Linked DNA regions of Arabidopsis thaliana. The protein of the gene in region 1 purifies or fractionates together with the protein of each later gene. This does not show direct contact. Each region holds a gene or a part of one and is shown on either strand. Other genes may lie near its edges.

Evidence for each region. Proteins that work in one complex are often made in the same cells at the same time.
Region 2: the proteins of PYL13 (region 1) and HAB2 fractionate together in Arabidopsis thaliana (co-fractionation; one study listed by BioGRID). This does not show direct contact.

Annotation. Positions count from the first base shown.
Region 1 is NC_003075.7:10,252,221-10,255,589, forward strand, and holds PYL13 (PYR1-like 13), read left to right. Parts: upstream 1-2,138; coding exon 2,139-2,633; downstream 2,634-3,369.
Region 2 is NC_003070.9:6,031,882-6,037,995, forward strand, and holds HAB2 (homology to ABI2), read left to right. Parts: upstream 1-2,388; 5' UTR 2,389-3,035; coding exon 3,036-3,779; intron 3,780-3,977; coding exon 3,978-4,328; intron 4,329-4,423; coding exon 4,424-4,529; intron 4,530-4,723; coding exon 4,724-5,058; 3' UTR 5,059-5,517; downstream 5,518-6,114. Other genes in the region: AT1G17540 (kinase with adenine nucleotide alpha hydrolases-like domain-containing protein), read right to left, coding at 1-123, 213-334, 434-531, 604-760; AT1G17545 (Protein phosphatase 2C family protein), read left to right, coding at 1,228-1,243, 1,426-1,628, 1,707-2,027; HLL (Ribosomal protein L14p/L23e family protein), read right to left, coding at 5,754-6,114. UniProt on the Arabidopsis thaliana protein: Key component and repressor of the abscisic acid (ABA) signaling pathway that regulates numerous ABA responses, such as stomatal closure, seed germination and inhibition of vegetative growth.

The sequences.
Region 1 (3,369 bases):
AATATATGTTTGTAGCTTTTGTAGCTAGCTATATATTAGCCATAGACCATAGTATTTAATAATGATGGCTTGGAGCCATGAGTTTTAGCATAAGCTTGTTTTAATATGATTCCATGTTGCCCTGTTTCTTTATATACTAGTATACTATATGTTATTCATGAGTTTGGAAGTATCGGTTTGTTACAAATCGGAAGTTTTGATCTATCATATCTACTGTAGTTGCTAATTAACTCGGCTTACTTGCGCCCGTCTCATTTTCTTTGAGTGTAAAAATTTGTTGATCATCAATAAATAATTTTACTGATAGAGATAAAAAAAAATAAAAAATTTGACGTATTCTTTTCTGTTAGACCGGATAAATAGACATTCAATCAAAGGTTTTTTTTTTATTAACCTACAAGGTAGTGAACTCCATTTGTTAGAACAACTTCCATTACCTTCGAACTTTTTTTATTCTTAATAACACAGAAAGTTGTGATACGGTTGCAAAACAATTTATCAATGGTGCCGATAAGATTGTTCAGAGGGTGGCAATGGGCATTGGTTTCACTTGCTTACCATAAAGAAAGCAAGTTTGAGAAATACCAAAATTGCGATTCTGTTTTTGATTGTGACTTGTGAGCCCCAACAATATATGTATATATTTCAGCTTGAGCTCAATTCCCATATATGCTACAACTCTAAGACGCAATTTATGAAAATTTGGATTTTAAATAGTCATCATGTCCATGTTTCTCGAGATGGATATCTAAGAGAAGAATAATTTGAATTTTATAAGTTTATTAAGTCATATTTTTAATACTTAAATCCAAATATAATTTGTTCCATGTATTTTATTTTTATTCTTATAATACACTTATGGAAATCTATTCTATTTTACTTCATATCTTTACCCATTTTTAATTTGCAATTTACCTTTATAATCCACTTATAAATATATATAAAAAAATCTATTACATTTTATCTCATGTCTTTACAGATTACACATTGGAATTGAGTTTTTTTTTTCATCTAAAACTTTTGTTATTTATATAACCATGGAGGTGACACAATGCCGGCCGTTAAACATGATCTTAGTCTAGGAAGGCTAAACATAAAACCAAAGCCAAGAAAAGGACTAACAAACGGACTGGATAGTTTGAAACCCAAAACCAAAACAGAATGGATTTTGTGCTGTGTGGGGTGAAGCATAAATGTATAAATGGAAAATATCATCATTAAAGTTTGGGCTTATACGGGCCTTATTTCTAATAGGCAATAGACTGATGGAACATTGAATATGCCTACCCTGGATATGTAGAACTTGCATGGCTCTCGGATTGGATACGTAGAACATTACACTTATGAAGGAAAAAAGATTGGATTCTTTTTTTTTCTGGTCGGCAACCAATTAAGAGAAACACTGTTATGTTTGTAAACAAGTGTGTGTTTCGCTAAATTCCATTGTGTGCTTTTCCGGTTTAAATGACATCTGTATTTACCTCGTGGGCAATGACACATCTATCTATATTTAGCTCCAAAACATTGCTGCAGCAAATTTCCAAAATAGACCGACTAGATTTTAATATAATATTGGTAATTTTTATCAGTTGGTAAGATATTTAATTCTTCGTGAAAAGATACTCGTATATCTCTCTTTCTGTTTAAATGGTTGATATAGTCAAAAGAAAAACCTTCAAAGAGGGTTTGTTAAAACCATATTCCCTATCACTCTTGTCAGAATACCCTTCACAGATGGTTTTGTTAATCTTTTTGATAAAACCAAGTTCCAGAATATGCAAGCCTTTTATCAAAAAGCAAAAGAAAGTTTCTAAATATGCCAACAAGATTGTGTAATTTTTCACTATACAAGGCAGTCAATACTTGTGTACAAGTTTATATTGTAAAATGTTTTTTGGTTAGTATATAGTAAGAAGAATTCGAATCGAACTCTAAAGTTTAATATTACATGAAGAATTCGTAAATAAATTAAACAATATAAAACACTATAAAAATATTTTAGTCGGTGGCTTGCCTTCATTTATATGTACGTAGATTCGTTCGATATGCTTTAAAACAAGTGAATACGAAAATTCTAAAGTAAGACACGAAAATACACGTCGATAAAAGACAAACCCATTAGAAAAACAAAACAGAAAATGGAAAGTTCTAAGCAAAAACGATGTCGCTCTAGCGTAGTCGAGACCATTGAAGCACCATTACCACTAGTGTGGTCCATCCTACGTAGTTTCGACAAACCACAAGCTTATCAACGTTTCGTCAAAAGTTGCACCATGCGCTCTGGCGGCGGCGGCGGCAAAGGAGGAGAAGGAAAAGGCTCCGTCCGGGACGTGACGTTAGTCTCCGGCTTCCCGGCGGATTTCAGCACGGAGAGGCTCGAAGAGCTAGATGATGAGTCTCACGTGATGGTGGTAAGTATTATTGGCGGTAACCATAGGCTTGTTAATTACAAATCGAAAACGAAGGTGGTCGCGTCGCCGGAGGATATGGCAAAGAAGACGGTGGTGGTGGAGAGTTACGTGGTGGATGTGCCGGAAGGAACTAGCGAGGAAGATACAATATTTTTTGTTGATAACATTATTCGGTATAACCTTACTTCACTTGCTAAGCTCACAAAGAAAATGATGAAGTAAGCTCTATATGTTTAAGCTAATCAATAAACTAATCGTAGTTATAGTTATGAATCATTGGATTAAGAAAAAAATGGATCGTTATGGATTAGTTTTTAATCTTTAAGGCTTTTAGCATTGCAATAATAATAATAAAAATATAAAGAATCGGAATAATATGCTCGTGTGGTTTCTTTCTTCCGTGATTGTAATTGTCTCTTTTCTCCTACTCTTTTATGAAGAGAAATAAAATGAAGGTTATTTCTACATTTTTACAATTAGGAATCTTTGAAATAATGGTTTTAAATTGTTGACTCAGTTGGTTTAGTTACTAAATATACTGATTTGTATTGCTGACAACAAAAGTTAGACTAAATACATGTTTGAAAATTTTCTTGATAATTCTTTGTCCATTTTGCATAATGCATAGTAAAAGGGCATCATGTAAGATTCTTAATTTGAAGTTCTAAACTAATTAATATCAATACTTTAGTATAATATTATTAGGTTGGAAGGTATTTTACACTCAGAACAGAAAGTATGATGACCTAAACTGTAGATCTCGTGAATTTCATGGCCGTTTGACTCAAATCTGTTCGGAGGTTATGAATTTATGATGTCCGTTGAATCATTGAGCTGTTGAACTAATGGAGTGGTTTACTCTATAATACTTTGGTGTGTTTTTATCAAAAACCGACCGAATCAACAGATATAATTTATTTTGAACAAGTTGGTGAAAGACAAAATAGAGGTTCTATTG
Region 2 (6,114 bases), on another chromosome or scaffold:
GGTGTCTGAGGCCGACTCGCTGATCTGCTTGTTAAGAGCTTCCCTTTAGACACAATGAAGACAGCACATGTATCTGGTGTTGTTTTAAGCAGAGTCGTTGGCACATCTACGCTCTTAAACTTCCTGATTAAGACCATAAATCACAGAGAGTTATAGGATTTAGCATTCAGATTAAGATTACAGTTTAGGTTATATGAGAGAAAGAAAGAGACTTGAGGAAAGAATTTCGAGCAGAGGCTCCAATGACTATATTTGAAATGGAATTGTTGGTGATGTAGTCAACAATTGCACTCGAGATGTCAATATCGTGAAGAAGAACCTCCGTTGCTATAATCTGAGAGAAAATATATAATTAATGAGGTCGGTGAGAGCTATGTGTATATATATATATATATGTGATTGTTGTAAGGAGAAAGAGAGGTTGATATCTGACCCCTTTCCGAGCACAGAATCCTCTAAAGGGAAGGAAGAACTGATGCGCCTCTTCTTGGTTGTCATGTGGTGCTTCTGTGTTTTCTCCTGCCCCAAATCCTGTTTCAAGAGTTTTCATTAGATTGATGGATTGATAACAATGATGATGATGATGATGATGCCATTACGTACTCAGTTTGGTTTGAACATGGAGAAGGATACAGTTTGGAGAATCGATGATGATATTCTCAACAGCCCATTTCAAAGCGTGTTGGCTGTTCTTATCTTTATCAATGGCTATGGCGGTAACTGCTTTGCTGTCTTTTCCTTTGAGTCTTCTTGCAGCCATTGTTTCTCAGCCCTCGAGATGATTGCTGGAAACTTTTGCTTCTGGAGAAACTAGAAAGACATTGTGGTACGGTCTTTCAATTACCCTCAGAAGGAGGAAATAAGGAGACCGAATGATAATGAAAATGATAACAAGGAATTAAGAAGAGAAGAGGAGAGGAGAGCTGTTTTGTTTGTTGAGAAAATTTAAACTTATAATGGTTTTGGCACTTTGCTAAAATTAGAAGGTTTTTCTTTTCTCCAACAATCTAAACAGTCATAACGAACAGAGAGGCAGACAAAAAGAGGATTTTTTTAATTTTAGTTGACGACTTATCTTTAAAGGATATTCCATATCATATCTTGTAGACAAAAAGAGGATTTTTTATTTTTAGATTTGTGTAATGGCATCTTATATTGATATATATGTAAACTAGATAAATTTGGAATTATAGGCAGTCTTGATCTTTTAGAAGAAAGAAGAAGACCATGAGGAAATCCAAAGGTTGAAATTAGTTTTATAATTGTTTCGACGAACGTGTTAAATATCTTGGGGTAACCTGTTTGGTTTTGAAAGGGCAAAAGGGTTTGAGTTTGAAGGACTTTGTCTTTTGTGTGTGATTCATGTCGCTGATGAGGAGGACCTTTGATATTTCAAAGAAACCATATGGAGTATATAATATATAGCTAATAATGATTTTCGTATAACAAACAGCCGTGTACAAGCGAGTGTGGAATTTAATAATAGTTGTGGACGCTACAATGGAAGTGGAATAGAGGATCATGGGCGAGTTCTTGCTACGTCCATTATCCTGAATGATGATGCGGTTCCCACAACACAAGTCCTTATTACTACAAGTCATCATGATAATGTAGCAAAGAGGAAGGAGGTGGAGTGTCTATGAGCTAGAGTGTATACCTCTTTGGGGCACTGTGTCAATCTGCGGTGAAATGGAGGATGCTGTTAGAGCTTTATCTCATTTTTCAAACTACCTATCAGAATGCTTATGTGTGATCATGAAGGGATAATAAGTCCAACGCTCACATGTCTCACTAGTCACTTCTTCGGAATTTATGATGGCCACAGAAGAAGCAGACCTGTTTCTGGTTCTGTTTCTTCTGATGATAGGATGGTTCTTCAGGCTGTTTCCCCTGAGACCGTCGGATCAACTGCTGTTGTTGCTTTGGTTTGCTCATCACATATCATAGTTTCCAACTGTGGTGGTTCAAGAGTGGTTTTACTCCGCGGCAAAGAATCCATGCCTTTATCAGTTGATCAGAAAGTATAAAAGCTGAGACAGAGCTAATGAAGTTTCTTACCTTAATGTAAACAAGTGGACGCTAGAGCCCATATAAGTGACGCTGACTGGGCCTTAATGTAGGCCCATTTCAAACTTTGGTCTCCGAGAAAAGTCTTTCGTTGTCTATTTTTTAACCACGTTATGATAACACTACATGTGTCATGAGATGCATGAACATATGTCATGAACATACTTTCAATCTTGGATCAAAAAACTAAATTAGAAGAATAAACAGAAGACTTGACCTTTAAGAGGGAAGGACACGCGTCATCTATGTTGCCATTATTGAATAGATTAATAAATTAGTTTTATAATTGATTGGAGCAACGTGTTAATAATGAAGGTCGTTGTCACATAAAGAAACTTGGGATTCCGTGGAGTGCTTATAATTTTTCTAATTTTATTTTTTGGGTAAAAACCTCATTAGATCCAGGAGAACCCATGTTTCGTTTCGTTTTGGAAAGATAAGAGAGATAAAGGTTTCGACTTTTTTAGGTTTTTCTGTGTGTTTTGTGATTCATTTCGCTGATTGATATCAATTCTCTCTGTTTGTTGTCCCTTCTCTTCAATTTCACCTGACTTTTGTTTTTGTTTTGGATAAAGTTTTCACCTTTGTGTCTTCTCTCTGCTCTCTTGTGTGATCTATCTGAAAAAGGCTGATTTTTTTTTTGTGGGTTTCTAAATTAGGGTTTGTGTGAGTTTATTGTCTTTCTGATTCGATGAAGATCAAGAGTTATAGAGGATCGTTAGAGTGATCAAAATCCCACGAATTCACAAAGGATCCGTCTTCATAGATCCGTCAGATCTGTTCAGCGGAGGTACATACTTCTTCGTCATTCACTGCTTTCTGGATTAGTTGGTGAGAATAAACGGCTGGTGGGTCTCGGTGGGAAGCTGAATTGGATGTAGAGTTCATCAGACTATAGCTTAGAGAAGAAAATGAAGTTTTTTGAATCGTTTTGCTCCAGTTGAGGTTTGGAAGCTGCATACCAGCTCATGGAAGAGATTTCACCTGCAGTTGCACTTACTTTGGGTTTAGCTAATACGATGTGTGACTCTGGAATCTCATCTACTTTCGATATCTCCGAGCTGGAGAATGTTACTGATGCAGCTGACATGTTGTGTAATCAGAAAAGACAAAGATATAGTAATGGAGTGGTGGATTGTATTATGGGAAGTGTTTCAGAAGAGAAGACTTTATCTGAAGTGAGAAGTTTGTCTTCTGATTTTAGTGTAACTGTCCAGGAATCAGAAGAAGATGAGCCATTAGTATCTGATGCGACTATTATTAGCGAAGGTTTAATAGTTGTGGACGCTAGGTCTGAGATAAGTTTGCCAGATACAGTTGAAACTGATAACGGGCGAGTTCTTGCTACGGCCATTATCCTAAACGAGACAACCATAGAACAGGTTCCCACTGCAGAAGTCCTTATTGCGAGTCTGAATCACGATGTGAATATGGAGGTGGCAACTTCTGAGGTAGTCATTAGGTTACCTGAAGAAAATCCTAATGTAGCAAGAGGAAGCAGGAGTGTTTATGAACTAGAGTGTATACCTCTTTGGGGCACGATTTCAATTTGCGGTGGAAGATCTGAAATGGAGGATGCTGTTAGAGCTTTACCTCATTTTCTCAAAATACCCATCAAAATGCTTATGGGGGATCATGAAGGGATGAGTCCAAGTCTCCCATATCTCACTAGTCACTTCTTTGGTGTATATGATGGCCACGGAGGCGCTCAGGTATGCTGTAGTTCGTAAATCCTTATACTGATTTTAGCAGTAGAAAGTTAATTCAACTATGAACCCGGAAGATACATGAGTTTATGTTTTGTTGACGTAGGTTGTATGTATATATGATAAAGGGTTTGCTGGAAACGGGATTCTTTGCAGGTTGTTATGTAATATATGACGGCTTTGGTGGAAATCGGATTCTTGCAGGTTGCTGACTATTGCCATGATAGAATCCACTCTGCTTTGGCTGAAGAAATCGAACGGATTAAAGAGGAATTGTGTAGGAGGAACACTGGCGAGGGTAGGCAGGTCCAGTGGGAGAAAGTCTTTGTAGATTGTTACCTAAAAGTCGATGATGAGGTTAAAGGGAAAATCAACAGACCTGTTGTTGGTTCTTCTGATAGGATGGTTCTTGAAGCTGTTTCCCCTGAAACCGTTGGATCGACTGCTGTGGTTGCTTTGGTTTGTTCATCGCATATAATAGTCTCAAACTGTGGTGACTCAAGAGCAGTTTTACTCCGAGGCAAAGACTCCATGCCTTTATCAGTTGATCACAAAGTAAAAAATCTTCTCTTTCCCTCTAAAATAATTTAACACAATCTGAGAAAGTTTCTTATTTCTAATTCATGAAATTTCTTACCCTTTCTCTGCAGCCAGATAGAGAGGATGAGTATGCACGAATAGAGAAAGCTGGAGGAAAAGTTATACAATGGCAAGGCGCTCGTGTTTCTGGCGTTCTTGCCATGTCCAGGTCCATCGGTAGGTCAAACTTGCACTTATGTCTTCCATCTTGCCTAGTGACAGAAATATGAAGAGAGTTTTATAGGTCAAAATTATCGATAAATTAAACATTCAGTAACCTTATTTAGAGATGAGGATCATTACTACCTGTTACAGTCTCTGCAAAATCATGAGATCTCCTGAAAGTGGGTTTCAATCTGCATCGTTTTCAGGTGATCAATATCTGGAGCCATTTGTAATACCAGATCCCGAAGTGACGTTTATGCCACGAGCTAGAGAAGACGAGTGTCTAATATTGGCCAGTGATGGACTTTGGGACGTAATGAGTAACCAAGAAGCTTGCGATTTTGCGAGGAGGCGGATCTTGGCTTGGCACAAGAAGAATGGAGCATTGCCTTTAGCTGAGAGAGGTGTAGGAGAAGACCAAGCGTGTCAAGCTGCGGCTGAATATCTCTCCAAACTCGCTATTCAAATGGGAAGCAAAGACAATATCTCAATCATAGTGATCGACTTGAAAGCTCAAAGAAAGTTCAAGACCAGATCTTGAAACAGTGTATGCTCGAGCTCTTACACTATTATAATTTTATTATTTCTTATTTATTGAAAAAATTTCCACAAGTTTACATAAAAATAAGAAGTGAAATGTTGGGGGGAAGAAGAATTAAGACCTTGATGCATAGCTGAAGTCCATTCCTTTTTCTCATGGACTTGAATGTGTATGTTTGTTATGTATAAGAAGAATAGAGAAGAAATGTTTTTACTTTGGAGTCTTGTAGGTGGATATGTTGTTGTAATATTGGAGATGTGGCTTAAGGAATTGTAACTGAAATTTATGTCACATTCACCTTAATACTTTTCTGTAATCTATTATATATAAATACTTGTTGTGAAAGAGTTATTATTGTCTTTTCTATTGTTATTGTTATACAACAGGTAATATTGATTCCAAAGTGTTTAATGAGGGATGCTGTATCAAACATGAAAACTAAGTGAAGGGTTTGGAGAAGGATGGTTGTTTAAAGCTATTTCCCCTGCTTTTTTTACTAAGAGAGTAGAGTTTAACAATTAAAAGAAACCTAAATAAGAGATCATAATTGGTACGTTAAGGTTTCATAATTCATTAGAATTAACAAAAATAATGAGTTGGATAGTTGAAGAATCAACAGAAACCCAAGTGATGAATGGATCAAAGAGAGTCACATAAAGGAGATCATAACTGATGTTTTAGTGTGGTGTATTGTCTCAAACAATGTGCTGAGCCAAAGAAAGGATCTTGAGCTGTTTCCTGAGGCGCATCTCGTGCGGGACAGGACCAAACACTCGGGTACCAGTCGGTTGGTTGTACTCCATTTTCCTCTTGGAACCATGTGAATTATTCTGCCCTTTCTTTTCCTTAATGCCAACAACTACAATGGCATTGTCATCAAACTTGACTTGGCTTCCATCAGCACGTCCTTTAGGCATCGCAGCACGCACAACCACACCGTACACGACCATCCCTTTCTTCACTTTACCTTTTGGGATAGCGTCTTTCTTTACTTTTTTTTGAACAATTGGGTTAGCTTCTTTCACTGAACCAACAATGATATCGCCAAGTCTTGCT